7 linked regions of the Mus musculus genome follow. The protein of the gene in region 7 interacts with the protein of the main gene of each other region in a biochemical or structural test. Links are inferred from orthologs where the notes say so. Each region holds a gene or a part of one and is shown on either strand. Other genes may lie near its edges. The genes, in order: Casp6, Gsk3b, Sgk1, Mapk3, Mapk13, Tuba4a and Mapt.

The links.
Region 1: of the proteins of Mapt (region 7) and Casp6, one has a biochemical effect on the other in vitro, tested with the Homo sapiens proteins (2 studies listed by BioGRID). The link is inferred for Mus musculus from reciprocal best matches to the Homo sapiens genes MAPT and CASP6.
Region 2: of the proteins of Mapt (region 7) and Gsk3b, one has a biochemical effect on the other in vitro, tested with the Homo sapiens proteins (21 studies listed by BioGRID and IntAct, with this or other methods). The link is inferred for Mus musculus from reciprocal best matches to the Homo sapiens genes MAPT and GSK3B.
Region 3: of the proteins of Mapt (region 7) and Sgk1, one has a biochemical effect on the other in vitro, tested with the Homo sapiens proteins (3 studies listed by BioGRID and IntAct). The link is inferred for Mus musculus from reciprocal best matches to the Homo sapiens genes MAPT and SGK1.
Region 4: of the proteins of Mapt (region 7) and Mapk3, one has a biochemical effect on the other in vitro, tested with the Homo sapiens proteins (2 studies listed by BioGRID). The link is inferred for Mus musculus from reciprocal best matches to the Homo sapiens genes MAPT and MAPK3.
Region 5: of the proteins of Mapt (region 7) and Mapk13, one has a biochemical effect on the other in vitro, tested with the Homo sapiens proteins (2 studies listed by BioGRID). The link is inferred for Mus musculus from reciprocal best matches to the Homo sapiens genes MAPT and MAPK13.
Region 6: the proteins of Mapt (region 7) and Tuba4a are reported together in a solved structure, tested with the Homo sapiens proteins (2 studies listed by BioGRID, with this or other methods). The link is inferred for Mus musculus from reciprocal best matches to the Homo sapiens genes MAPT and TUBA4A.

What each region holds. Positions count from the first base shown.
Region 1 is NC_000069.6:129,899,915-129,904,214, forward strand, and holds the start of Casp6 (caspase-6 precursor), read left to right. Parts: upstream 1-1,500; 5' UTR 1,501-1,592; intron 1,593-4,300.
Region 2 is NC_000082.6:38,190,001-38,193,500, reverse strand, and holds part of Gsk3b (glycogen synthase kinase-3 beta), read right to left. Parts: intron 1,974-3,500; coding exon 1,867-1,973; intron 1-1,866. UniProt on the Homo sapiens protein: Constitutively active protein kinase that acts as a negative regulator in the hormonal control of glucose homeostasis, Wnt signaling and regulation of transcription factors and microtubules, by phosphorylating and inactivating glycogen synthase (GYS1 or GYS2), EIF2B, CTNNB1/beta-catenin, APC, AXIN1, DPYSL2/CRMP2, JUN, NFATC1/NFATC, MAPT/TAU and MACF1.
Region 3 is NC_000076.6:21,993,684-21,997,183, reverse strand, and holds part of Sgk1 (serine/threonine-protein kinase Sgk1), read right to left. Parts: intron 3,295-3,500; exon of another isoform or gene 3,121-3,294; coding exon of another isoform or gene 3,003-3,120; intron 2,519-3,002; exon of another isoform or gene 2,435-2,518; coding exon of another isoform or gene 2,359-2,434; intron 2,219-2,358; coding exon 2,143-2,218; intron 1,711-2,142; coding exon 1,635-1,710; intron 1,391-1,634; coding exon 1,286-1,390; intron 1,159-1,285; coding exon 1,075-1,158; intron 962-1,074; coding exon 830-961; intron 626-829; coding exon 513-625; intron 206-512; coding exon 82-205; intron 1-81. UniProt on the Homo sapiens protein: Serine/threonine-protein kinase which is involved in the regulation of a wide variety of ion channels, membrane transporters, cellular enzymes, transcription factors, neuronal excitability, cell growth, proliferation, survival, migration and apoptosis.
Region 4 is NC_000073.6:126,758,417-126,762,425, reverse strand, and holds the start of Mapk3 (mitogen-activated protein kinase 3), read right to left. Parts: upstream 2,801-4,009; 5' UTR 2,781-2,800; coding exon 2,608-2,780; intron 1,696-2,607; coding exon 1,513-1,695; intron 1-1,512.
Region 5 is NC_000083.6:28,772,317-28,775,760, reverse strand, and holds part of Mapk13 (mitogen-activated protein kinase 13), read right to left. Parts: intron 508-3,444; coding exon 399-507; intron 208-398; coding exon 178-207; intron 1-177. UniProt on the Homo sapiens protein: Serine/threonine kinase which acts as an essential component of the MAP kinase signal transduction pathway.
Region 6 is NC_000067.6:75,216,495-75,220,504, forward strand, and holds the start of Tuba4a (tubulin alpha-4A chain), read right to left. Parts: upstream 2,801-4,010; 5' UTR 2,702-2,800; coding exon 2,699-2,701; intron 941-2,698; coding exon 718-940; intron 482-717; coding exon 333-481; exon of another isoform or gene 100-332; coding exon 1-99. Other genes in the region: A630095N17Rik (uncharacterized protein LOC381272), read right to left, coding at 3,966-4,010. UniProt on the Homo sapiens protein: Tubulin is the major constituent of microtubules, a cylinder consisting of laterally associated linear protofilaments composed of alpha- and beta-tubulin heterodimers.
Region 7 is NC_000077.6:104,229,936-104,234,235, reverse strand, and holds the start of Mapt (microtubule-associated protein tau), read right to left. Parts: upstream 2,801-4,300; 5' UTR 2,629-2,800; intron 1-2,628. UniProt on the Homo sapiens protein: Promotes microtubule assembly and stability, and might be involved in the establishment and maintenance of neuronal polarity.

The sequences.
Region 1 (4,300 bases), on a different chromosome or scaffold from region 7:
ATTTGTGGAAGGCCAGCCAGTCGAGGATCCTGCTCCTATATAGTGAGATAGAGATGCATTGTCAGGACTCAGATAAATAATGAAAGTCATATCCAAAGCATAGGCAGTCTTGGGAGTCAGACAAGCCATTCAAACCAGGACGGTGGTCGACACCCTGAAGTTCACTCTCTGCTAGGTCTAGGCAGCTGGGCTGGGGATGATGAGACCTAAATAAGTAAAAAAATAAAAATAAAAATAGACCACACTGTTTCCCCAAACAAGAGAACGGAGAGCAACTCCCAGCCATTTTCCCTGAGCTTCCCCCATGAAAGGCACGGTTCTGAGTGCAGGTTTAACTGGTCACCACCACTGGAGGGAAAGCTTGAAATGCCATGTCGTAATGACAGAGAAAATCATTATTAAGACAATTGAATATTACTAAGCCTAACCCTCTTTACTTGCCATCAAGAGGGGCCCAATTAATTTCGGACATGTTTTCGGGGCAAGGAAAAAGGTTTATTCAGTAAGCAAGACACAGCAAGACTTCCACTGTCTTATTTTAATAGAAATGGTGACATTGAGACTAGTGAAGGCCAAAGGCTGTGCAAAGATACCTGCAGATGCCCAAAGCCTGCTGCAGCAGGCATGAGACTACGCATGTGTGAGCCCGCCCTGCCCTGTTAAAGAACCTCCCTTATGTACACACATGCACACACACACACTTCCTACACACATGCACACACACACACTTCCTACACATATACGCATGATTAAGTAGTGTAATAAAAGACTCCTCAGTCAGCTGGTAACACCTTAACATAATTTTTATCATCTATAGTTGCTTGCTTTTAAATGACAAGGTGGCACACAGTAGGCACAATATGACAGGAAAGGCCATGGTCACCATCACCTACAGATAGACTGTCGTTCTTAGAATTTATGCATGCACTGCCAAACTACCCCTACTTTTATAAGCCAGACTTAAACATCCAGGAATTGGTAGAGTGCTAGGCTAGCATGCGAGAGTCCTGGGTGCAGTGGCACAAAGACAGTTATCACAGCACTGAGTGTGGGGGCTGAAGGATCAAGGTCAGGACCTCAGCTACAGGAGACTCAGGGAAGGAAGGAGGGAGGAGAGGGGGTTGGGGGGTGGGAAGAAAGTCCAGGAGTTGCCTCCGTTTTGTTTTGTCTAAAGCCCTGTCCAAACAGCAGCAGCAACAACAACAACAAAAACATGAGGAAAAAAGCCCTCTGACTGTAGAGTAAGCTCTCTACACTAAACTGAGCACTAGATGAAGTGGCGAAGAGCGATTGTCGGGCGGGGACGGCAACACTGAGTTCACCACCCTGGACGTGAAGTTGCCCTACTTGCTCCCCGGGCAGTGCCCTCTTCCCCAACACTTACACATACACATATGCTTACACACAGCCAGGCTCTGTGCAGGAGGAAGACGCAGTGGCGTCCTGGCGTTGCCTGGGTGACAAAGGGCCCAGTTGCTTGGGGAGGCAGAGGCGGATCCTGGGGCGGGGCAGGAGGCGGGGCGGGGCTGGCAGGAAACGGGTGGACGAGCGGAGGCCTCAGGGCTAGGACACCGGTGGGAGCTCGCGGGCAGGTAAGTGCGGACACCCGTGCGTGCGTGGGGCACGGGGCAGAGAAGGGTGGTGGCCTCCGGGGACTGCTAGGACTGACAGAAGTGGGCTTGCGGCGCTGTGCAGTGAAGGACGTAGCAGCGGTATTTTGCTCAGGCTAACCCCGCCGAGCGCTTTTGTCCTCACGTCCGCTGCTTCCCGGCTGTTTAAACTTTAGAGGGCGGCGCTTGCACTGTGTAGTGGAGAACTTGGCTCTGCAAGTTGAATCCTGTTTTTGTTGCTCGCGTCTGTCTGAAAAGTGGGAAGAGGAGGCGGACCAAGGCTTGGGGCACAGGCCTGCGGTAACCGGGCTCAAGACCCCTAACCAAGGCCAGACCTGGGCGAGCACCTCCGCCACAGTGTCTTCTGCAGCCAGCAAACCTGTTGCTGTCTACGCGTTAGCCCCAAATAACTTTTCTCCACACAGTGATAAACTGCTAGTTCTTGCTTCCCTCAGAACAGGCTTCCTGTCGCCTATCAAAACCGACGTCAAGCCTGAAAAATCTTTAAGGTCTATCAGAGACGGCCTTTATTTCAGAACTTCTGTCCTTATTCCAGAGGAAAACTGTAAAAGTCCCCATGGTCCTACCAGGAGTGGTCCTATTGGACACACAGGGTCTAGTGGTCATCTCCAGTTTAGGGATGAGTAGTGAGGGGTGGGAAGCCAGGTTGGGGGAGGGCACCGTGCCGCTCACCCTTTTGTTTGATTCCTTTCCTCTCCTGTTCAGTTCTATGTGTATGTGCCCTTTCCAGAGTATGTTCTAGGGAGGTGAGTTACTTCTTACAGGTTATTAAGTAGATGGTTGACAGGGAATATGGGTAGATTCTCATGAAGGTCACTAGTTTGGAAAGTGACCTTTAGTGGAATGCCTGGTGACATGTAGTACAGACTTTGTAATCCACCAGTGCCGGGCTTTCGGTTCCGACCTTAGGCAGGACTGGCCCTGTTCTGTGTTCTTGAGCTTTGGAAGTAGTAAGATAAAGTATCTACCGTCCCATGCAATCAATTACAGTGGCTGATAGCTTTATCTGGAGGGTACCATAAAGAGAAAAAGAGGTGAGTGATTTTATACAAATTAAACTAAGGAGCTCAGAGGCCATGCTTACTGTAGGGTCGAACAGTAAAGGAGAAGTGAGACATGGCCAAGACTGACGATTAATGCTGTGTACAGTTTTGAGAACCAGAACAGAGGAGACCACACATTTCTAACCCTCCTATAGGCTATCTTAATCTCTGCTACAAAAGAGGCCAAGGCCGGAAAGTCTCAGGTTCAAGGTCAGCGTAGATAACACAGAACAGCTCTTGGGGAAATGCTGTGCCATATACGCTTTGAAGCTGCTTTGCTGTGAGCCAGGCTCTGAAGACTGCGGCAAAAGGAATGTGAATTTGAGGCCAGTCTGGGGTACGTTGCTTTTGAACCCTTGCTAAGGCAAGACTCTCTTGAGAAGCCTGCATCCGTGTTGTGCTGGGTAGTCTTATGTCAACTTGACACAAACTAAAGTCATCTGGGAAGAGGGAGCCTCAGTTAAGAAAGTGCCCAATAAGATCAGGCTGTAGGCAAGCCTGTAAGGCTTTCTCTTAGTTAGTGATCAGTGTGGGAGGGCCCAGCCCACTGTGGTTCGGCCATCACTGGGCTTGTGGTCCAGGGTTCTCTCTAAAAGAAAGCAGGCTGAGCAAGCCAGTAAACCATCTGCCTCCACGGCCTCTGCATCAGCTCCTGCCTCCAGATTTCGGCCTTGTTTGAGTTCCTGTCCTGACTTCCTTTCGCGATGAACATGGAAGCATAAGCCAAATAAATCCTTTCCTCCCCAACTCCTTTTTGGTCATGGTGTTTCATTACATCAATGAAATCCCCAATTAAGACAGATATCTTGGCTATCTATTGTAATTTCCCTACACATATATTAAGTATATATTAAAACTGTTGAGTGCTGGCAAGAGATCTTAGCAGGTAAAGGCACTTGCCACCAACCCTGGGACCTGGGACCGTATTATGGAAAGAGGAACCTGCTTCTGCAGGTTGTCACCTGACTTCCACAGAGCTGTGGCGTGTGTCTGCCAGCTCCCACACATACACAAATACATGTCAAAACTTTATTAAAAGACCCCAGCTTTACATTAAACAAACCCTTAGTGAGGGCGTGAATTTGACAGCCTTGAAACTGGATGTTATTTTTAATAGATCTTGAACAGTTACTTAGGCCCTGACTAGGCTGAGGGAGATGTGTGAGACAACCCACACTGAAGCTTCTCATTGGATAGGAAGAGCAGAGTTGGTCTTCAAGGCTTTCAAGGGACTTGGCAAGCTGTGGCTGGCATTCTTGCCACTTTGGCAGCTCTCAGGTGCCTTGCTACAAAGGCAGGTTGGCAGTCCCTTCCTGGATTCTGGCTCTGTAGGTCTCAGTAGCCACCATGACCCAGGAGTCAGCCTTCTAACACTCACTGGCAATTCTGAGGCAGACGGAGGAAACCTACTTAGCACCTATTGGACAAGGAAATGCCCGACTGGACTCTTCACTGAGAAATGGTGCTGCCTGGGTGAACTCTAGGCTAAAGGGGACTGAGCCGCCTCCCCACTCAGCCTCACCGCCAGGGTGGCTGTGGTTTTGCTCTATTGACATGAGGTTAGAACAAGTCTGTTTAAGGCGGGGGGCGGGGAATAATCGACTCCACGTCAAAGACCCCTGCCAA
Region 2 (3,500 bases), on a different chromosome or scaffold from region 7:
CTTACAAAGTCTTAAGAAGCAAGATCCTGGCTACAGTTATGGCTTATCCATTAAGAAAGACTACTTGCTGCTCTTGCACAGAACCTAGTTCAATTCCCAGCATCCATGTAATGGCTCACAACCACCTATATCTCCAGAGATTTGACACCCTCTCTGACCTCCACAGGCACTAATGTATGCATGTGGTATGCATACATACATGCAAAAACACACGCATAAACCAAATTTAAAAGGCAAGCATCTTAGATCCAAATCCATGTTTTCTACAATGTGCCAGGTGATCTGGCTCTGATTATTTTAGAAGGACTGTTCAGATTTTTGTAGACCCTGGCACAACTCAATCTATTATCTTGTGCATAGATCATATATAGCTAACTAGTATCAAATATTTGACTAGAATACTAATCAAATACTGTATCCAGTGGCATTTGCAAGGACAAAGGACTAAACTTTCTCTTGGAGACAGCTGAATTAGTAAGCCCAGGAAAGACTGTCGCCTACAGTACTTGAGTAACGTTTTATGAAGAGCAGGCAGAATCAGGGTCTCCACGTGGCAGCTCAGATACTGTTTTCTCCAGTCAGCTTCTCTGCAGCACTTCTCACTTATTCAGTCACATACGCCATGTTCCTACAGCCACAGTAAGACAGCACCACACACGGCACCACACACACTCCCTCCCTCCTCTCCTCTGGCAGGTTTCATCAAGTGTGGGCTGTAGAGCCCTAAGTGTTGCAGACATTTTCAGGTCCTAGAATGTAACTTTACACTAACAGCATAAACAATAAAATGACCTAGTGTGTAAAAAGCACCAGTATCAGCGAAAAGATGCTTTGGCATATTGCCCTTTCTGAAAAGAAAAAGAACAACGCACCGCTGTGCGTATCAGGAGGACAAAGCACTGTACTAAATTAGCCAGGTTTTGTTTTTATTTTGGTTTTTGCCCCGCCCCCATGACTATGGGTTTTTTTCCTGGGGGAGGAGTGTAATATGTATGCTTTAGTTTCTATTTAGGACTAACAGGTTCTAATCAGAAACAAAGTGAAAGGGGCTGTGGAGGTGGCTTATGGTAGAGAGAGCTGAAGACAGGATGGTCTCAGACCCACGGGTCAGCTAGTCCAGCCACATCAGTGAAGCCCAGCTCCCCGCCACCCCTGCCATGATACATTAAATAAACTGATTGGGAGAAGGGTTTTTGTCTACTAACACAGCAACTGCACTAGAACAGGTTAAGAAGATAAGGTCAATGAAGATTTCAACTGTCTCTAATCTTTCTATCGTTAGACATCTCCAGTGAAACTTTTAAACCTGAAAAGCTAATGAATTAAGCTGCTCGAAAATTAAGCGATGCATCATTATAGGAATTCAGAAATATTACTGCCCTATTAATTATAATATTAACATTTTAAAAGTAACATTATTAATTAACAAGTTTTCTAAGTAGGTTAGGCTCAAGAATAAACACTTCAGGAGAGCTAGAAAACTAGTACAGAGCCCATTAGTAACTAAGCAGACAAAAGTTCCTTCCGAGCAGCTGTGGCTGAGCTCCACGCGTGCTGTGAGCACGTCTTTTTGCCGTCCTTCCCTGCCTCAGTAATGTTTCTACATGATTATCAAAAATTATTTGAAACTTTAGCGTCAAATAGATGCATTAAGCAACTACAATACAAAGTAATACTTGTATAATTCTAATACTAAAAAAGCATAAAACCAGAAAGGCATCAACTCTAAGGTGTAAGAAAGAAAATGAACTCTCTTCATTTCTGCAAAGGTGTCCTCCGCAGCCCTGCCCTCGCTGAGTCAGAGAACTGGTAAGAACCAGGCTGCAGTTAACAGTCACACCCACTGCACTCAGACCCGGCACTTACCTATACTGGACGTGTAATCAGTGGCTCCAAAGATCAACTCTGGTGCCCTGTAGTACCGAGAACAGATATATGAAACATTGGGCTCTCCTCGGACCAGCTGCTTTGCACTGATGAAAAAAAAAAAAACATTTTTAAAATATATACCTTAAAGAAATGACTACTTTTACATTCACATACCACATGTTCATCTAAATCTTGTAAGACTGCAATAATGCCACACACTTGAAACTGTTTCCAACAAAAGAAATACACAATTTCATCAAACTGATATCTAAAAAAGTGATTTTTAAAGTGAGTGTCAGGTGTTAGCTAAGGAACAAAGAGATTAAAAACTTACAAAAGGATACAAATGGTCAATTTCTTCTGCTTCCCCATTTCCTAAATTCTACTTGTGAAATATTAAATGGCTGACAGGCATGGTGGTGTGCACCTTTAATCCCACCACTCAGGAGGCAGAGATAGGTGAATCTCTGTGAGATGGAGGCCACTTTGTAGTGAGTTCTAGGTCAGCCAGGGATATACAGTGAGACCATGTCTCAAAAATAATTAATAAATAAAATATAAAGGTCAGAAAATTAAAAAGTAGTCTTCTCCAACAAAAGAATATTACCAGATCAGAATAGGCGAATATATCAATATTCCTCATCTATACGCTTTTTAAAAAAAGGGGTGGGGGATCTGGCCACTCTGTTCAACTTGGTCTTCTGACTCAGGATGACCGACTCAGCCTTACACAGCCAAGACATGCATGCTTCCACATTCTAGTCGGTTTACTGTTTAAACACCTACTGCTAAACAAACTGTGAAAAGGCATTCAACTTTAGGGGAAAATGACTCAGACCCTATCAACTGCATCTCTGCAGCTCTAAGTTTACATATTATTAAAACCTTCCTCCTAAAGTAGCTTACAGTATATATTTTAAACACTGAAGTGAGTCACAGTATCTCTTGAAATGTCTTTTTAGGTAACTCCATCTCAAAAAAGCAGGCCGCTCTAGGAGCTGTTCTGACAGCAGCATCAGATACAGAACAAAATACTGCAAGAAAACCAAATGAACAAAGAGGGAAAAAACAACAAGTAAATAAATGCCAAAAAAGGTGAAAAATCTGAGGTAACAGTGAGGAGGAGGAGACCCAGACAGGTGAGGAGACAGTCTTGGGGTGGGGTTTCTTTTCCTTCAATTTACTTATAGTCAATGATGACTCTAAACTTGATTTGTTTTTCCTTTCATCATCCGTTTCAAATTTTAACCTTCTTCTTAGGCCCAGATAAAACAGTATTTGCTATATTAACAACAGTAAGGTTTTCAGACTCTCAAAAAAAAAAAAAAAATCAAGGTTTAGTGTACTAGATAACCGACTTTCCTCTCTTCAGAAGTGCATTCTGGGGCTGGGATAGCTCCTTGAAAACACAGTTGTCTGTGATGTGGAGTTTAAACTCCAGCTCTCAAACAAATGACTAGCAGGACTCGGTGGCCCACGCCTTGAGTCTCAGCATCTGAGTGCTCTACATGGAGGCAGAAGCAGCAAGCTGCTATGACAGCCAGAGCTACATTCTTAATGGATAAAACAGATTCCTAAAATACAAACTTCCCAATAACTCCAAATTATCTAACTGGAAGCCTTGACAGCCT
Region 3 (3,500 bases), on a different chromosome or scaffold from region 7:
TTCTTAGTTAAAACCTCTGTGCTTTGTGATGTCCACTGGTCCCCTGTGTGTATACACCGGGCACTGCGTCAGACTGCCTACCTCAGGCGTGCCACAGAAGGTAGATGTTGTCCCGTTATGCTCAATATTCTCTTTGCAGAGCCCAAAGTCAGTGAGGACGATGTGCCCCTGGGAGTCTAGGAGAATATTCTCAGGTTTTAAGTCTCTGTAGGAAAAAGTAGTTACACAGGTAGGTTAGCTTGACTTCATGACAAACCCTCTGTAAAGATTGCTTGGGTATTAAGAAGATTGCTAATCCACTCCTGTTCCACAGCCAATCACAGAAAGGAGCCTTAGTTGGGCTGTTAGGATTATGCACCACCCTCTTGGTATGGGCAGTTGAGACAACTCACATGCTAGGGAATTGTTAGAGGTGACCAAAGTGCACATAATATCTCATTATTTTAGGACTCCAAAGGCTCAGCCTGGCCTCCCTCTCCAGCATTCAAGGTAGCTTTGAACCTTTGGCTCACCTATAAACGATGTTTAGGGAGTGCAGATAGCCCAGGGCACTGGCTATTTCAGCTGCGTAGAATCGAGCCCGTGGTTCCAGGAAGCAGCGCTCCCTCTGGAGATGGTAGAACAGCTGCGAGAGACAAAGAAACTGAGGCTTAGTGGGGTCGTTTAGTCAGGCCCGAAAGAGAAAGCTTGAAGGAAGTGGCCTGAAATAGCTTAATTCTGAGTAAGTTTCTCTCTCAAGTATCTTTTAAAAGCTCATCTCAAACCCAAACCAAGCAATGCAAACAGGAGCAGCCCCACTCCCACCATCAAGGTGGATGCCTCGGCTCACCTCTCCACCATTAATGTAGTCCAGGACAAAGTAGAGCTTGTCAGCGGTCTGGAATGAGAAGTGAAGGCCCACCAGGAAAGGGTGCTTCACATTCTTCAACAGAACATTCCGCTCTGACATAATATGCTTCTCCTAGGAGAGAGATGAGATTTAGTGGCAAATTCAGATTTCAACAGGGCAGCAAACCACAGGGTAGAAATTCTTCACCAGGCCTGCGAGCCCCGGCCACCAGGGGTCACCCTTACCTCTTTCTTCTTCAGGATGGCTTTCTTCTGTAAAACTTTGACTGCATAGAATACTTCTTCTGCCTTGTGCCTAGCCAGAAGAACCTGAAATGTCAAATCGGACAGTCATTTTTCTATCCTCATCCAGGGAGAAGATAAAAGTGAATGCATGAAAGAGTCGAGATGCAAAGTTTTCATCTTTTGGAAAAGATGAACTTTTGGTTGAACTTACCTTTCCAAAACTGCCCTTTCCGATCACTTTCAAGAAGTGAAAGTCGGAGGGTTTGGCGTGAGGGTTGGAGGACGGACCCAGGTTGATTTGTTGAGAGGGACTTGGCTAGAAAACAAAGCATCATCCTTTAATACGTACGCTGCACACAGCCTTACTGTTAACACATAAAATACCTTATGAAATATGTCTTTCAAAACATCCCAGTGACTCAGTACTTAAACACTTAAGCCACTTGTGATGTGACTAGACAATCCCGCCTTGATAGTTTTTACAAATACTGCCTTGACTAACCCCTACAGGAAAATACGGATACATTTATAATTTTCCTCCACAGTCAAGATATACTTACCGGAGGAGAGGGGTTAGCGTTCATAAGCTCCGGCTCCTGAGGATGGGACATTTTCAAAATGGACTGAACTTCAGCGCTGTGGAGATTAAAGGGCCATTTTAGAAACTCTTAAATTCGCCACCAGAGGGCACACAGACATAAGTTCTATTTCTGACTCAACCGTTCGGTATTTAAACCGAAAACATCCCAAGGAATTGCTTACAAAAAAAAAAAAAAAAAAAGGTAAGAAAATAACCCAGTTAAATACAAATTAAGGTTTGTTTATTGAGGGACGTGGATTTTGGTGAACATTCACGAGAATTAATCTTAAACCTCCGATCCAAACTCTACCCATAAATTAATAATGTTTAAAATGTTTCAAATAAGCAAAATGTTCAAGACCAGAAGAGATCTATCTACCCCGGAGGAAAGATCTCAGCTCCAGCACCACCACCCCCGCCCCATGAAGTCTTCGCTGCTAGTAAATTTAAACAATTCTTTCTATTTTCCCCAATAACCCAAAACTTACTGTTTGCATGCATAGGTGTTGCTGGCAATCTTCTGAATAAAATCGTTCAGGCCCATCCTTCTCTGTTTCATAAAAGCTATAATTTAAAGAGAGGAAAAGGGGAGATGGTTAGGGGGCTCTGTAACATCCGACGCCACACGCTAATCTGATCCTGAACCTTCAAAACCGATGCCGGCTCTCCTACACACACAAGTCCGGTGCTTTTCCAGCACTCACCGATGAGAATCGCTACCATTCCCCTCATTCTGGAGTAGGTAAGGGTGCTTCGAGCAGCCTCGGCTTTGACGGTCATCGTCCCGATGCCCGGAAAGAGCCCAAAAGAGACTGAGGGGAGCAGTGAAACCGGCTAAGACAACAGTGCGCTCCGGCCGCGCGACCGGCTTTATAAGCCCTGCGCCGCGAAAGGGCGGGGCCGGCAGAAGGAGGAAGCGGCTCAGAGCCGCCCATCTCCAGGCTCCGCCCGCCATGAGGCTCCACCCCCCAGCCCAGCCGCCTAGCAGGCTGTAGACTGAGTTGCGAGAAGATGGGCGACTGGCCACCGTGTCCTGAGTGAGCCAGGCGAGCCGCCCTGGGCAGGACCGAGGCTTCCGCGGGCTGCGTGAGCAGGACCCCGCACCGGGATGCACTCTGCCTCTGTCTGCCTGGGCCGGAGGAGGGCACTGGAGGGGTGGAGAGCCTCGGTGATTTTCCATTTCCTCTCCCGTGCTTCCCGAGTGGACACCGCAGTGCACGGTCACCGCCGACCTCTCCCCTCCTCGGTGTCCCGTCCCCGGCCCAACGCGCAGCCTCCAGGTTCCCGCGCTGTACCCTATCCCGATCTCCACGCACCCCGTCCCTAAGAGCCGGGCGGCGACACTTACCCAGTCCGCTCAGCAGGACGGACTCGCTCCTTTTCTGAGCCTCCGCCCGCTTTTTGTGGCGGGGCCGGAGCAGGGACTCGAGCCGAGCCCGAGCCAGCGCGCCCTGCATCTCGCCCATAGCTGCGGACCGAGGGGCGCACAGCGGGCGACGGCGACCGGCGAGCACTGACGTTTCCTTGAAGGAGCCGCCGTGACTCAGGCCGGCAAGATTTCCTGCCCCAGTCCCAAAACAAACAAATGGCCCTTGTGCACGGCCGAGTCGCTTCCGAAAACGCCTTTTTTGTGCTTTTGGCCAAAACTAAGCAAGGCTGAAAAATCCCAGAACTTGGAAGAGGAGGAAGGAAGGCGGGGGGGGGGGGGTATGAGGGGGTCAGGAATGTGTAGGGGAGGGGGCGGAAATAAGTCTCTGCTCTACAAAAAAAAAAAGTACAATCTTCATTTCACTTTTTTTTCCAACTAATCTCCGAGAACATTCTGTTCTTTCCGCATAAATTTTGA
Region 4 (4,009 bases), on a different chromosome or scaffold from region 7:
TCCTTTTATACTTGAAGGTAAAACAAAGATTAAGCAAAAACAAATGGCTTATCTTTGGAAGAATAGTCAGGAGCTGGGTAGAGCACCTCACTCCTATAATCTCAGCACTTGGGAGGCAGGGGCTAGAGGATTGCCTAGAAGTTTAAAGCCAGTCTGGTCTACAAAGTTAGCCTGAGGCCAACCAGGGATACACTGTGAAACTTTCTTAAAAAAAAAAAAAAAAAAACTGAAGTCTGAACTGTCTTCTATAGAAGACATGTAAACTGGGGCTGGTGTCACCCCCAAGGCAAAGGCAGTTGGATCCCTGTGAGCTCAGGGCTAGCCTGATCTACATAGCAAGACCCCTTTCTCAAAAAGAAGAAACGAGGGAATAAGCACCTGCAGATATATACACACAGGGACCAACCCTGCTGCTTTATAAATGTGCAAGTCTAGAGATGCAGAGACCTGCTGAAGGTCATGCAGCAAGACGGGAGTATGTCGATTTCCTGTGGTCAGAGTTGCAGAGGCTGTAGAACAAATCCTGGCATTGGGAGGGGTGGGTAGGGAAAAGGCCATGGGTGCTACCGTCTGCTAACAATGGAGCCAGGCAGGAAGTAGATATGGACAATGAACTGGATGTCTGAACTAGGCAAGTAGTGTCAAGCAAGGGCAACAAGGGCTGGACTAACCTCCCTGGTCAAGGTACAAGTCCACAGGTGATCAGGGTGGGGCTCTCAGAAAGGTGGGAAGGCTCCAGGGAAGCCAACTGGGGGAGAAGAGGAAGCTACTAACAGGAACTGCCGAATTCAGGCAGACTCTCAGGGCCCCTCACCCTTCCTTGAGCCCCCGGCCTAGCCAGGGGCAGGAGTGCAAAGGCTTGGCTCCACCCTGTGACTCTAGGGTCCTCAGGTTCCCCCTCTTAACAATACAATGTGGTTTGAAAGCCTCCACTGCCTCCATGTTGGATTAAGTATCGCCCACTCCCCTTCCCCCTAGAAGGCACTGCAAAACTTAACACAGAGGAGCCTCGGTTTCCTTATCTTTGAAATGGACACAGTAAAACTCATCCGTCACACAGGGAAGCTAGAAGGTTGAATTAGAACCAAAGCACTAGGCCTGCCCAATACCGGTTTTCTTCTTTGCTTTCCATCCAGTGTGAGGTCTCTAAAGAAAGAATCGTGAGTCTGTTGAGCAAGAACAGGCTGTGGGCAGAGACTGGGTCATGTCACAGACCTGCAGATGTCAGAAGACAAAGCTCCCATAGAGATCGTTTTTTCCACAGCATTCTCCCTCCCCACACACCATACTGGGGCACAGAGCAGAAAGGGATGTGTTCAAGGCCACTCCACTTGGCTGCGACAGACCAGGATCCAAGGCCTGCCAGTGTGCTCTCATGCTCTGTAGACTCTCTGCTAAAAAGTTACTTTGCTGGGGTTTTTTTTTTTTGGAGGGTAGTACAAAAGATGACCACAGACAACAGAGCCAAGCTCCCTAGCTTTACTCTGGGGCTGTGGCTAAGGTGAAGGATACACATCTCTCATGGCTTCCAGGGTGGGCGCTCTGAGGATGTCTCGGATGCCTATAACATTCTCATGGCGGAATCGCAGCAAGATCTGGATCTCCCTCAGCGTGCGCTGACAGTAGGTTTGATGCTCAAAGGGGCTGATCTTCTTGATGGCCACTCTGGTCTTGCGCACGTGGTCATAAGCTGAGCTGAGAGGGCCAGAGAGATGTGGCCTTACAAAGGGGGAATCCAGGCCTGTTGGCCCCACCCAGGTCTTGGCAGGGACTGGAGAGAGGAGGAGAGGGTTCTGGCCAAATGTAAACAATGCTGGCTCCTTCCTGCTGTGAAGGCCTGGGATCTCCAGGGGAAAGCTGGGTATCAGCCAGGCAGCCTTTCAGTGACTTCACAAACAGAGGAAGAGAGTGGCCACTCACCGACTTCCTTTCTCCTGGACCCTCTTACATTCTAGTTGCCCTCACCCTCCTCCCCTTTCCCAAGCTGGACTCTCTCAATCCCAGACAGGTCCAGGGGATAGGAGTTAAATGGAGAAAGTAGATGAAGCCTAGAGGATTCAGTAATGGGACAGGAGAGAAGAGATAAGGAGGGGCAGGCAGGTCTCCCTGTGCGGTTCCTGGGTCAGAGCTGCTCCCATAGGAACAAAGGCCCAGAGCAGAGCACACAGTGGGGCAGCGAGAACTCACAAACCCGTATACCACAAAATAAGGCACATTCTAGAGACCCTTCCCTACTTTGGGCCCCTAGCCTTGCCAGGGGCAGAGGTGCAAAGGTTTGCCCCACCCTGAGCTTTGCTCTCCTCTCTCAAACTCTCTGTCACAGCCTCATCAGGGGGGAACCAAGGCTCCCACTACCTGCTCGTGGGTCCCTCACTCCCCCTTCATCCTCTTAGCTCCACCTTTATCTCTAGGGTCCCCCAGGTGCCCCTCCCTTAACAATACAAGGTGGCTTCAAAGCCTCCAACCCCCCTCCCTGGAGAAAGTAGCGCCTAGTCCTCCAGAAGTCACTGCACGATACTTCCCCTGCGACACTCCCTGAGCCCCCCATGTCCCGAGCACACACCTGCTGTCCCTGCTCCGAAGCCCCCTCCCGGGACGCCCCCTCACCTGACCATGCCGTACGCGCCCTCGCCGATGTACTGCAGCTGCGTGTAGCGTGGGCCCACATCGAATGGCTGCCCCTTCACCACCTCCACCTCCCCGGGGACCACCGGGACGACCCCAGCAGTTCCCCTGGGCTCCCCGCCCCCGCCCCCCGGAGCCGCCGCCGCCGCCGCCATCTCCACTCCTCCCGCCTCCCCCCGCTGCCCCGCCCGCGGCCCCGCCCCTCCCTACCGCCCTGTCACCGCGGGGCCGCGCGCCAGGCTCCGCCCCCGCCCCCGCGCGTCCCGCCCCCGCGCCTGCCGGGCGAGCCTGCGCGGGCCCGAGACGTCACATGGTCTCCTGGGCGCGCACCCGGCTTTCCCGCCTAGTTACGCTGTTCCTTCCCTGCCTTGGCCACTAGGGTACTTTAGTCTGCCAAGAGAGTTCTGCAGCCCCAGGGGCCAGTGGCCCTCAGTAATGCTAAGGGAACCCACCCGGCTTACAGTTAACCTTTGAAGACCTGCCTCACATCTTTGTTTCATTTAAACAGATAGTGGTAATCCAGGCTAGCCCCAAAGGCTCTCTATGTGGTGGAGGTTGGCCTTGAACACATCCTCCTGCCTTTAGGCCTGAGCCATCATACAGATTCAGGATGCTACTAGGCAAGCATCCTACCACTGAGCCACATCTCCATCCTTTCTTTTCTCTCTCTCTTTCTTTTTTAAGAGGGTCTCTTGACATGGAACTGGCTGTTCCAGAACTCACTATGTAGACTAGGTAACCAGGCTGGCCTCAACATACTAACTCGCCAGTGCTAGGATTAGTTAGAAGCTGTATGTATCACCATGCCCAGCTTCCATAATTTCTTATTCGTTTATTTGCCACATTTATTAATTTTGTGTGTTGGAGCGTAAGTATGTCACAGAGCCTGTGTGGAGGTCAGAGGACATCTGATTCCTTCCACCATGTGGGTCCCAGGTGTCCAATTCAGGCTGTCAGACTTGGTAGGAGTGGGCCACCCTGAGTTGCTGAGGGAGTATATCTTACGTTTTATAATGAGGAAGCAATCTGGAGGGTGGTGGACGGCAGGCAGCACTGTGAAGCTGTGAAGTCGGTCCTGACTCCAGTGTGAAGACACAGGCCTGCAGGGGGGCTCAGGTGTGTGCTGAGGCCCCAGTGTCGTACAAATCCTCTGCCTGATTGCCCAGAGGACGTGCAACCCAGCTCACTTCACGGGAGAAGGAGGGAAAGGGTGGTAGCTGTGGACAAAGGTAACTAAATCAATTTAAATTCACTGTCACCTTTTCTCTGTCTCTGTCTGTCTCTGTCTTTCTGTCCCCCCCTCCCCCCACGCTGGGCTGGTAAGATGGTTGGGTAGGTAAAGATGCTTGCCAAGCAAGCCCAAAGATCTGAGTTGGATCTCTGG
Region 5 (3,444 bases), on a different chromosome or scaffold from region 7:
TCTCCCCAACTTCTCAACACAGCCATTCTCTCAACATTCTACATCAGCCCTCTCACGGCTGAAACACTCACAGCCTCTGTCTCCTGAGAACTGTCACTCCCAATCCCTTGGCCACCAGAGTACCCTGTTCCTACCCCAAAACTCATTCCCCGGAACCATGATAGAGAAAGCACTCACCCTGTGGACGATGCCAGCGGAGTGGATGTACTGAAAGGGAGGGAGGGAGGGAGGGAGGGAGGGAGAGAGAGAGAGAGAGAGAGAGAGAATGAGAGAGAGAGAGAGATGTGAATCAGAGACGTCAGCTTCCACACCAGCATCGAGAACCCTCCTCTGCCCCACAACAGCGGGCTGGCTCTCAACAAGGAAGTTGCCTTGGCTACCATGTAGGCTCCACCCACCTTTAGACCTTTGAGCATCTGGTACACCAAGTACTGGACCTTATCCTCGCTGAATTCCATCCCCATGATCTTCTGTAGGTCTGTCTGCATGAAGGGCATCACCAGGTAGCTGGAAGGCAGGAGTGTTTTTTAGCACAGTTCCCAGCCTCCCACAGGCCCAGGTGTGACCTCAGAGAGGTCAGGGTGGGGTGGGGACAGAAGTCGGGCACAACAGTAACCTTGAAGACAACACCAGGCAAGAAGGCAGAAGACGACTCAGGTGTCATAGTTCATGCCTGTAATCCCAGCACTTAGAGATTGCAACGTGTTAAACCCAGCCTGGGCTACATAGTGAGTCCCGGGGCTGGAGAGCTGGGTCAGCTGACACAGTGCTCAGATGCATGAGGAGGTCTGGAGTTCAACCCTTAGCACCCACGTATAAAAGCTGGGTGTATTGGAGTTCAGCTGTAACCCCAGTGCTGGTAGGGAGGAGACAGAAGGGTCCCCAGGGCTCATTAGCCAGCAAGCCTAGTTTAGTTGGCAAGTCAGTGAGAGGCCTTGCCTCAAAAAAAAAAAAAAAAATGGAAGGGGACTAAGAGATGGCTTTAATCTTTCAGAGGACTCTGGTTCAGTTCCGAGCATCCAAATCTTTTTTTTTTTTTTTTTTTTTTTTTTTTTTTGGTTTTTTGAGACAGGGTTTCTCTGTGTAGCTCTGGCTGTCCTGGAACTCACTTTGTAGACCAAGCTGGCCTCGAACTCAGAAATCCGCCTGCCTCTGCCTCCCAAGTGCTGGGATTAAAGGCGTGTGCCACCACGCCCGGCTCCGAGCATCCAAATCTTGAGGCTCACCTGTAACTCCAGTTCCAGAGGATCTGGTGCCCTCTTCTGGCTGCTGTGGGCACTGCATACATATGGTGCACAAAACTCATGCAGGGACACACACACAAACACACACACACACACACACACACACACACACACGTGCGCGCACACATACACACAACTACAATCATAAGAAAAACAATCAAGGTAGATAGCACTTAAGGAATAACAACATCAGAGGTTGACCTCTGACCTCCAGATAAATGCACATATAAGCACACATATGTAAATAGGACATGAGGAAGACAGGAGTTGAAGCCTCAGTACCCACATACAATGTACACATAGCTGCATACACATATGCAGCTCCCTACATATGAACACAATAACACAGAAAACAAACAAAGAGGATACATGAAAAATGAGCAGTGCCCAGCCTGGGCTCCTGCAATGTCGGCCACAGCAACCTGGCTGGCCGAGCTCAGGGTGAACAACAGACTAGGTCACACTTTGTATCACCACACGCCTGCGTTCATACAAAGGTACCCTGGCTCTGCCCTCCTCGCATAGCTGACCAGCAGCAAGCCCACAGCATCTGCTAGCATTCCTACCTCTAACCAAAAGTTTCTCCTGCAGAGGGTCACACCCACCCCAGCTGGCTCTGCTAACTATAAAACAGATGCCCTGCCAGGAAGGAAGCAGGAAACAATCTTCAGATGGTGGAGAAGAAGGGACCCGAGCTATTAGGTTCTCAAGTGAAACAGGTCAGGGTCAGCAACCGGGAAGTGTGACTCAAGGTGGTAAGAGCAACGTTAAAGACAAAAAGTAAAAAAATAATAAAAATAATAAAAAAATAAAAAAACAAAGACAAAAAGTAATAGATTAGCTGGGCGTGGTGGCGCATGCCTTTAATCCCAGCACTCGGGAGGCAGAGGCAGGCGGATTTCTGAGTTCGAGCCCAGCCTGGTCTACCAAGTGAGTTGTGAGTTCCAGGACAGCCAGGGCTATACAGAGAAACCCTGTCTTGAAAAACCAAAAAAAAAAAAAAAAAAAAAAAAGTAATAGATTATAAAAGGTGTGTGTTGTGCACTCACACACATGCACACAGACATGCACATACACACGCATGCACATGTGCACACACACAAGCACTCACACATGCACATGCGCGTGCAGACACACTTGCACACACACAGTCTCTCTCTCTCTCTCTCTCTCTCTCACATACACATAGACACACACACGATCACATGTGTCTTGCATGCACACATTTTTTTCCCTTTATTTTGAGACAGGGCCTCATCATGTAGCCTTGCCTGGCCTGGAACATGTACACAAGGCTGGCCTCGAACCCAAAGGGCTCCACCTACCTCTTGAGCGCTGGGATTACATATTTATACTACCTTGCTGTGGACTTTGCTTCTGAAAGCTATTGCTGGACACTGGAAGAATCACTCAGCTTTTAAGAGCACCTGCTAGTTTTCCTAGAGAACCCAAGTTCAATTCCCAGCACCCCCATCAGGCAACTCACAACTGTCTTTGATTTCAGGGGCTCCTTCAAGCATGTGCACATACCAACACACACACATATATGTATACATATATGTGTATGTATATGTATATTTATATATGTGTATATGTATATATGTGTGAGAGTGTGTGCATGTATATGTACATGTATGTGTACATGTGTGTATGTGTAATATACAATATATACAGTTTATCTCACTTTCTCCACCACCTAAATACACTGCCTCTCATAACCTAGTCATGGTACCTGTGTCTGTCCTAATATGTTGGGCTCAAGGTCACAGTCACCACGTCAAGAACAGTGACTCCTCCTGTGTGTCCTTCTGTTGACTCCCAGGTGCCTGCCAGCCCTCCTCTCTCTCCAGTTCTCACCTGCTCACCCTTCCTGCCTTCTCACAGATGTGCCCTCTGGACCAACATCCTTGTATCTTGTCTTACCATGTTTAGTCCCCAGCGTTTAGCCATCACCCATGGAGAGGATGCTAGCCTGGTCTACATCCATGTTCCCCCCTCCTGTGATTTCACAGGCTCTGGAAGAGTCAAGGACCCAAGGTCAAGTTCATTATCTCTTCCTTGAGGTCTCTTCTTCCTACTTATATTCCAGGCAGGGATTGGGACTCCTAGTCACCTGTCCCAACCTCCCTCAGCCACCATGTCCAAACAGATGACATAGCTCTGTCAGCTTGGCTTGAGTGGGCCTCAGGTCTGCCCTGGG
Region 6 (4,010 bases), on a different chromosome or scaffold from region 7:
AGAAAGCCGCTCCATCAGCAGAGAGGTGAAGCCAGAGCCGGTGCCCCCTCCAAAGCTGTGGAATACTAGGAAGCCCTGAAGTCCTGTGCACTGATCAGACTGAAAGGCAAGGAAGAAAGAGCAATATAGGTAGGGGAAAGGCCTGAGGAATTTTCTAGTTTTGTAAGGTCTAAAGTATCTCAGATGTTAGGACAAAGTCTGAATATCCCCTAACAGCATCAATTTCTGAGACACAACTAGTGATCATCCTAGAAATGGATCCGAAAAAAATACTTTTCCTGAGCACAGAGTCCAAAGCTCCCTCCTCCCTGCCAGGCTGTATGTAGTCTCACCAGCTTGCGGATCCGGTCCAGCACTGGGTCGATGATCTCCTTGCCAATGGTGTAATGACCACGGGCATAGTTGTTGGCTGCATCTTCTTTCCCAGTGATAAGCTGCTCTGGGTGGAAGAGCTGACGGTATGGGCCATTTCGGATCTCATCTGAAAAACCATATATCACATTGCAAAAACCACCTGACTCTGCTCCTTCCCCCTCCCCACCCACTGAGTGGCAGCTGAAGCCAGATAGATAAAAGAGCTAGCTCATCCTTCTGCCAGCATCCATCTTCAGCTTCAAATAAACCAAGAGGCTTCAAAGATCACAAAAACCCAGCCAAGACATTCTTCAAGAGACACTCCACTTTCCTCAAAAGGGGACCCCTCCCCCCCTTGCTCACCGATTACAGTAGGCTCCAGGTCCACAAAGACTGCCCGAGGCACATGTTTTCCAGCTCCAGTTTCACAGAAGAAGGTGGTGAAGGAGTCGTCCCCTCCACCAATGGTCTTATCGCTGGGCATCTGCCCATCAGGCTGAATCCCATGTTCCAGACAGTAGAGCTCCCAGCAGGCATTGCCCATCTGGACACCTGCCTGCCCCACATGGACTGAAATGCACTCGCGCTGAGGGATACAGAGAAGGTCACAGCATAAGTCCTTACCCACAACTACCCACTTCATTCGGTTCTTTCTCACCCTTTTGCCTATTGGCTGAGATTACTCAGTTGGTAAAAGTATGGTAAGGTTGGGACTCATGGTGGTCAGAAGCAGCTGGCAGCCTCTCCAGTCTCCTCAGCACAGGGCTCCCCAGACTGGAGGTAGCCAGCAGGGCAGACCAACCCCTTAGCCTACTTCTCAGTAGAGAATTTACCAAGTGAGAGCTGTATAATCCTGTTACATCCACAGGATACACAGGACAGAGAGGACATGCACACCTGACAGGCAGGGCTTCAGCAATTATAATAAGGGTGCAGGGAGAGAAAGACACAGAGAGGGATAGACACCGAGAGACAGAAGACTTTCCAGTTGCTTCCAGATCGTGCAGCGTCTAGAAATATGTTTTATAGTTTATAGCCAGCAGCTTCCTCCCTGGTTAATCTTTGCCTTGAAAATTCTCACAACCCTCTCCCCTTCTTTCCTGTGGGCAAAGAGGTGTCTCAACCTTCCATCTGGTATCAACTGACCATTCTGGCCTTCAGGATGCTAGAACCTCCACTTTTAAGTTCCATCTGGCCCTGAGGGATCAATCCCATCTGGCTCCTCTCCCCACCTCCACCCTCACACTCTGCGTTGCTTCACCACCTCCATCCTCGCCTCAGCCCACATGGAAATAGCAGCGATAATACGGGTAAACGCTGACGGCAGGGGCAGGCAATACAGGTATACATACTGGAGCCCTGGCAACTTAAGGCTACATCTAGGTGGTCCATAATTTAACCCCTGCAACGCCCAGGTCTATAGAACCTGTGCGCCTCCCTTTTCACAACCAAATGGCGCGTGGGGGCGGGGTGGGGCACGACAATTTCTAAATACCCAGAAAAGGAAGTGGAACCTGCTAGGAGGCCCTTGAGGAAACCCGCCTTGCTGCACAAGCCAGGGGAACGCCATCTGTACCTGGGCCCTACGTCTGCTCTCCCACTGGAGTCTTTCCAGTTACTTCCCAGTTGAAAGCTCGGGTTGGATTTCTGCCCCCGCTCCGGGCTATAAATACAAACCCCTTCATACACCTCTCTCCCTTCCCCCGCCACCTGGCCGAGGCCGGGGCTGTCGATCAGCGCCAGCTGTCTCTGCCTGTTCTCCGAGCACCCGCGAGCACCCGCACTCGGGTAGGAGGGGCCCGCTGGCCTCCCGAGACCGAACCCCATTCCCGCCACCCCTCCTGGCTCAGGAGGGGGTGCTGAGTCATGTGGGGGGTGTAGATGGGAAGAAGGCACACGGAGGAAGACGGGGTGCGGTACCAAGTAACCCCTTAAACCAACCGGCGCCAGGCACGTGTTCGGTCAGTTCCAGGGACTCACTCAGGGGGTATGGGTGGCGGGGGCAGCTGAGCAGGTCTTCTGCTGCCGGAGGAGAGCACTGGGTACGGAACCTCGTGACTCCCCTCAGGAGGGTTGGAACACAGACGCTTGGTAGGGCAGGAGGACACTACAGAAGGGCTCCTCTCTGCTAGTGAAACACCCTCCCTCAGTCCCCAGCTTCTGAAGGTGGACAACACACTAGGTCAAAGTCACCGGGAGAGGTGGGGGAAGTGCAAAACTCTTACATCTCCTGGAAACTCGGAATGCTAAGGAAAGGGTCTTCAGATCTCTAGTGGAAGGTTCCCCCAGAGAAGCGGGACATTTGTTTATAGGACCGGAGAGATCCTGGCGGGGCCTCACTCACCATGATGAGTTTGGGCTGTACGTCTCACGTAGAGTCGGGGTCACGGGTCTCGGTGAGATCTGCGGAGCTGCAGTGCCGCACCGCTCTTATAGGCAGGAGGCGGGACCTGCGCGCTCAGCCCGCCCACCATGGGGCGGGGTGGTTTAAAGACTACATCCCCGTCAGGATAGGTGGCCACCAGGGGAGTGAAACCTAGGCGTATCCCCTCCCCTTGCCGCTCCGGATTCTCTCACCTGTCGGGTTTGGCTTAGAAGCAGCGGCCCATATTCGTTCCTAGTTTTGAGCCGATGTCCCGGATTCCGAAGGTCCGAAGCAGAGACGCAGGGTGCGGTGGCGGAGCGTGTCTCGAATGCACCCGCGTCATGTAGACGCTCATGGTGCAGGTATTCCGATTTAGGGCGGATGAAGCTCAAGCAATCCTTCAAAAGCGGCTGTCCCCGGCCTTCTCCGCTGTCCTCCCAGCGTCGCCTCCCGGGCTCGGGCGGGTTGGGCAGCTGGGACTGGTCGCCCGAGACCCCCTTACAGCAGACCGCCGCCTGCTGGTCCCCGGCCGAGTTGGTAGGCTTTCGCCCACACCTGTAGGAGGCCGAGGACCTAGAACTACAGAGCCTGAGCCCCAGGGTGCCGATCCGGTAGACTATCCCTCAAAGCCGAGCGGCGCAGCCAATCTGTGAGGGCCGACGCGAGAATCTGCCACCTTTCACCGGCCAGGCCACTCGCTGGTCAGAGGCTCCGTCATTAGCGCCGTCACTATTAGTTAGCTCCCCGCCTCGACCACCTACCTGCTGCGGTGGAGCACAGAACCTGGAGCCTCTGGAACAGCATCCGGTCGGCCTTATGCAACCTTGGGCAAGTGACTTAGTGTCACTGAGTTCTTGGCTTGTACAGTCGAAGAGATACCTCCTTTCTACGTTTTATTTCCATTTCGTACTAGGACAGGCCTTTCTAAAAACTATTTCTGCTTTCTCAGACATACATCACCCCCACCGGAAAAAAAATCCCTCAGGAGGAGCCCAGGTGCTGGTTTTCATGGCCATAAAAATTCTGACTCCTAAGGTAGTCATCACTTGAAAAAGATTTCACCAGCATGGGCTTCCATTCTCTTCTTAGGGACAGAGCTGTTTGTCAGCATAACACAAGGCCGAAATATATACAGCAATGGCAGACGTTCTATCAACAAAGTAGCTAGTGGCATTTGACTTAAGAGAAGTCATAGAAAAGAATACAATACATTTCACAAGATCTCTTTCTAGTCCTTGACATCTGGTTAGGAGAATTTCGTTGGGAGAGGCTGAGTGTGTAGTTCGGTTGG
Region 7 (4,300 bases):
GCCAGCACAGTACCTCACTCGACCCCTCAACACAGTGCAAAATGGGAGTTCGAAGACGCTGTGATCTGAGCTTTGTTTCTGCACTGGGTAAAACGTTCTGTCTCCTCCCCCTCCCGCTGATTTTTCCGCTGTGACACCTTTGCCCAACGGGCCCGCTATAGTCAGCCCCCCCTCCCAGCCTTCCCCTTTCCGCATCCAGCCCAAGAGCCTGGCTTCTTCTAGCTTAAGAATCCTGTTCCCAGCAGCCCGTCGTGTGGCGAGGGATGGGTAGTATTTGAACCTATCTTTCAGATGCTCGCGAAATTTCTGCCAGGCGGGCCCGGCCACGATGCCACAGCCTCAGGCCGCGGTTTGATCGGGAGAGGGCGTTCCACCCCCAGCCTACATCAATCTGAGTGAGCAGTCGACGTGGGCAATTCGGCCCTTAAGAAGCTCATCCATCGGTCTCAAAACTGCTTACCCGCACCAGTATTCAGCGGTAAAATTAACCAGAAAACCTCGAAGACCGAGCTTACTGTACGGTGGGGAGGCTGGGACCTCTTAGCTTTCTATCCCTCTCTGGTTTCAAGGGCTGTTGTAGATGTGGATTTTTTTAAAAATGAAAGTCCCTCATTTAAATGATATTAATAAAATAATATCAGTCAGCACGCTTATAATAAAATACATTAGAGGCATCTCTCTCTCTCTCTCTCTGGATGGCTATGGTTGCCAGTGCCAAGAGAATGATGCTCGCATCAGGGATGAGGGGCCCCTTCCTCGTGTCTTCCAGGCACTATCAGACTACCCCAGGATTCTAAATCTCCGCGGAGTAAGGGGGGGGGTGGGAGGTAGGGGGTGGGAGGTAGGGGGTGAGGTAACGCCCAGAGGTTCCTCCTCTGGCTGGTGTGGTTCCTATGGCAACCCTTAACCCTCTCTCCTTGGGTTGGGAGGGATGGGTGTGGCCGCAGTATCCCAGGGGATCTCATACCCTCTCCTCACACTCTCCCACCGGGAGAGGCAACAGGGTTCAACGGTGGTGGTGGTGGTGGGGATGCGGAGTTGAGCTTGCCGAATCTCCCCATTCCCGAGGGTTATCTGGCTCCCCTAGCAGTGAAACACAAGTGGGGTGTGGTCCTCAGGATGGCCTGGGTGTGGGGAGGGATGTGCTTCCTCTGAGGGCTCCTGCACACGAGAGTCTATCTCGAATCCCACCCATGTGGCTCTGGGTCGAACTGGGGAGTGGGCTGCCGCAAGTCTGTAGATCCAACAAAGGGTCTGAAAAGAGTGGCGAAAAAAGGATGGAGCTGCTCCGAGTGCGTAGGCAAATATCCTCGTCGAATGAAAGCTTCCCGCCTCCCCCCGCACACTCCCCCAAAAAACCAGGGCTGGGAGCGCAGATCCTAAATCACACGACGAACAAAGCAGCGAGCTCCCCTAGACGACCTCAGGTGAACGCTCTGGTGCGCACCGCTGCAGAGGCAAAACGCCAAGGCTTCCGTGTTCATCACCCCCTGTTCTTTAACATGGGTCCAAGCCGGGTCCTCCAAAGCCTGGCCACAGCTCTTGGCATGCTACGATAGAGACGTGACTCGCCGCAAAAAGATGGCACCTCGCGTTCAGAGAGGGGGGAAAAAACGGAGAGGGGTGGCAGCGGGAGGAGACACATCGTACTCCCCCCTCCTCGCCCACCCAGGTCCACACCCACTGCCGCAGTGAGGGGCGAGCCCTGCGCGCCAGCCCGCGCCTCCGGCAGGGAGCGCACATGCCGGGAGCCCGGCGCAGAACGCAGAGAAAGAAACGCGCCCCGAAATGCACCTGCAGCCCTCGCGTGGGTCTGTGCCTGGCTGCAACGCTGCGCGCCCTCGAGCGGGGAGCCGCTGCCAGCCAGCCCGCTGACACCGCGAGGCCAGGTGACCCCTGACTCTTCGAGCTCCCACATTGGGATCCGCGCACTACCTTCTCTCGGGCACGGCGCTGCCCCTGTCACTGTACCAAGCGCGCGCAGGGGGAAGGGCGACTAACGTGACAGCGCCTGGACCCCTCCCCATCCTCCGGATTCCTCCCAGCCCCCAAATGTCCCCTGCCGGCTTCTGAAGGAGGAAAAGGGGAGGGGGCGGGCCACCGCCTTAAATCAGGGCCAGTGAAGGCCGTGTCAGAATCGCTGTCAGGGAGGTGGAGAGACATGAAGGCAGTCATCTTTTCTAGAACCCGATCCACACCTTCCTTAGGGCTGATGGCAATCAGGAGCAGAGAAATCCGATTTCAGGTTCTGTTTCGGGGGTCGTCGTTGGACCCCCATGCACACTCACAGACCCACGCCCATTGCGGCAAAAGGCTGAGATCCAGATTACAGAACAACCCCTTCCCTAGGTCACCGTCATCCGCGCCCCACCCTGCGGGCACAGCCCCCCTCATTTGCGCGGAGCCGATAGTGGGGACCCCAGCACTCATAGATACACGCATTCGCTCGCGTGCGTGCATCTCTTGCACGCGTTCCTTCCCAGCTCCCCAGCGCCTAGGGCGCAGAGAGGCCCCCGCCGTTGCGCCTGATTGATGCCCAGCTCCCTAAATCCATCTCTGGGGCGAGGGGTGGCAGGAGGACGGCGCACAGGGCCAGAGGGGACTGGATTTCAGAGCTGCGGCGCTTACCTGATAATCGACAGAAGGCGAGGACAGAAGAGGACAGCGGAGGAGAAGGTGGTTGTGGCGGCGGCGGCAGAAGGTGGGCGGTGGCGGCGGCGCTGCTGCTGGTGCTGGAGCTGGTGGGTGGCGGAGACTGAGAGCGCGCGCGGCCGAGAAAGCGCGTTCTGGAGGCCGGCGGGCAGCGCAGGCGCGAGCCACGGGAGCGCGAACCTCCCTAGGGGAGGGGCGGGCAGCGAGGCCTGGGCGGGCACCTCCCCTTCCGACCGCTAGGGGGCGCACGCGAGCGCCCCTCAACCCTCCTCTCTCCGCGCCGCTCGGCTCGCCCCTCTCCGCGCTTCCCTCCCCGGGTCCCGCCACGCCTCGGGCCGCGGTGCTGACCGCCGCGCGCACGCGCATTCCGTGGCGCACGCGCACCCGGCCTCCCGGGGCTGCAGCCTTTGTCTAGTCCAGGGGTCCCCTCCCTCGGTCCCCGCGGGGTCCAGGCAGAGCGGTGTGTCGGTCATCGTCCGCTTTTCAGTTCACCCTCGCTGGCTCTCCAGGCGGTACACCGTGAACCCCAAGTGCTACAGGCTCCCCGAGTCTCCTAAAATGTGGCCCTCCAGATAGAGCGCACTTTCTATTTCCAGGGCCAGCTGTTCGCTTGCTTTCTTTCCACCTGTTTTTGTTAATGGCCAAAGTGAATGATTTCCTTGACAAATCTTCTCGAAACAGATTAACTTGACCGTAATACACTTTAGCGTTTTCGTGGAAAAACAATTGTTTTTAAATCAAGGAGCATTCAAACCCATTAGGTATCTTGACTGTGACCCTAGCGAAGAAAAATCTTTAAATAGGTAAGTTCTAATGATGCTTACCACACACACTGCAAGGCATTTTCACAGAGTTATTTTTATCTCGTTTATTGAAACACCTTTGTACAGCGTGAGAGCTGAATTTTTAAGGTGCCTGCTGGAGATGGCCACCTGCTGGATGTCAAGCTTCCGGTTGAAATTGGTCATTAGTTCTCCTTCCAGCTACGTAGGCGTGGGCTGTGGCTTTAGCTTAATATCTTACCTCCCCAAAGCTCAATTCTCTTGGACAGCTGGAGCCTGTTCAAATGCAAGGAAGAGAGACAGGCACCTACTTCTTGCCAAAGAGGCGAAAACTTGTCTTGAAGCTTTCATTTGCATGCCGTTTTTTCTTTATTTTTCAAGGCAGGTTCTCACTATGTTGCCCTGGCTGGCTTGGAGCTCACAGAGATCCCCTGCCTGCCTCTGCCTCTAGAGTGCTGAGATTAAAGGTGTGCACTGCTATCCCAGCAGTTGTTTCTAAAACTCCAACGTTGTACCTGCTCGGTGTGTTGGCTCACATCTGTAATCCCAGCATTCAGATAGGCTGAGACTTGTTCAAGATCAGCCTGGGCTATATAGCAGAATCCAAGCCAGCCTGAATTGTATTACAGGGTGAAAGTGAGTCAACAAACAAACAAACAAACACACTTCTGGGCTGGGGGGGTGGATGGTTGTGAGCCACCATGTGGTTGCTGGGATCTGAACTCAGGACCTTCAGAAGAGCAGTCAGTGCTCTTAACCCCTGAGCCACCTCTCCAGCCCCCAAAATAAAATTTTGAGATAACTTTGGGTTCAGTTTTCTAGCACCACAAACATTTTTTCCCATATGAGCTTAATTACTGAATTAT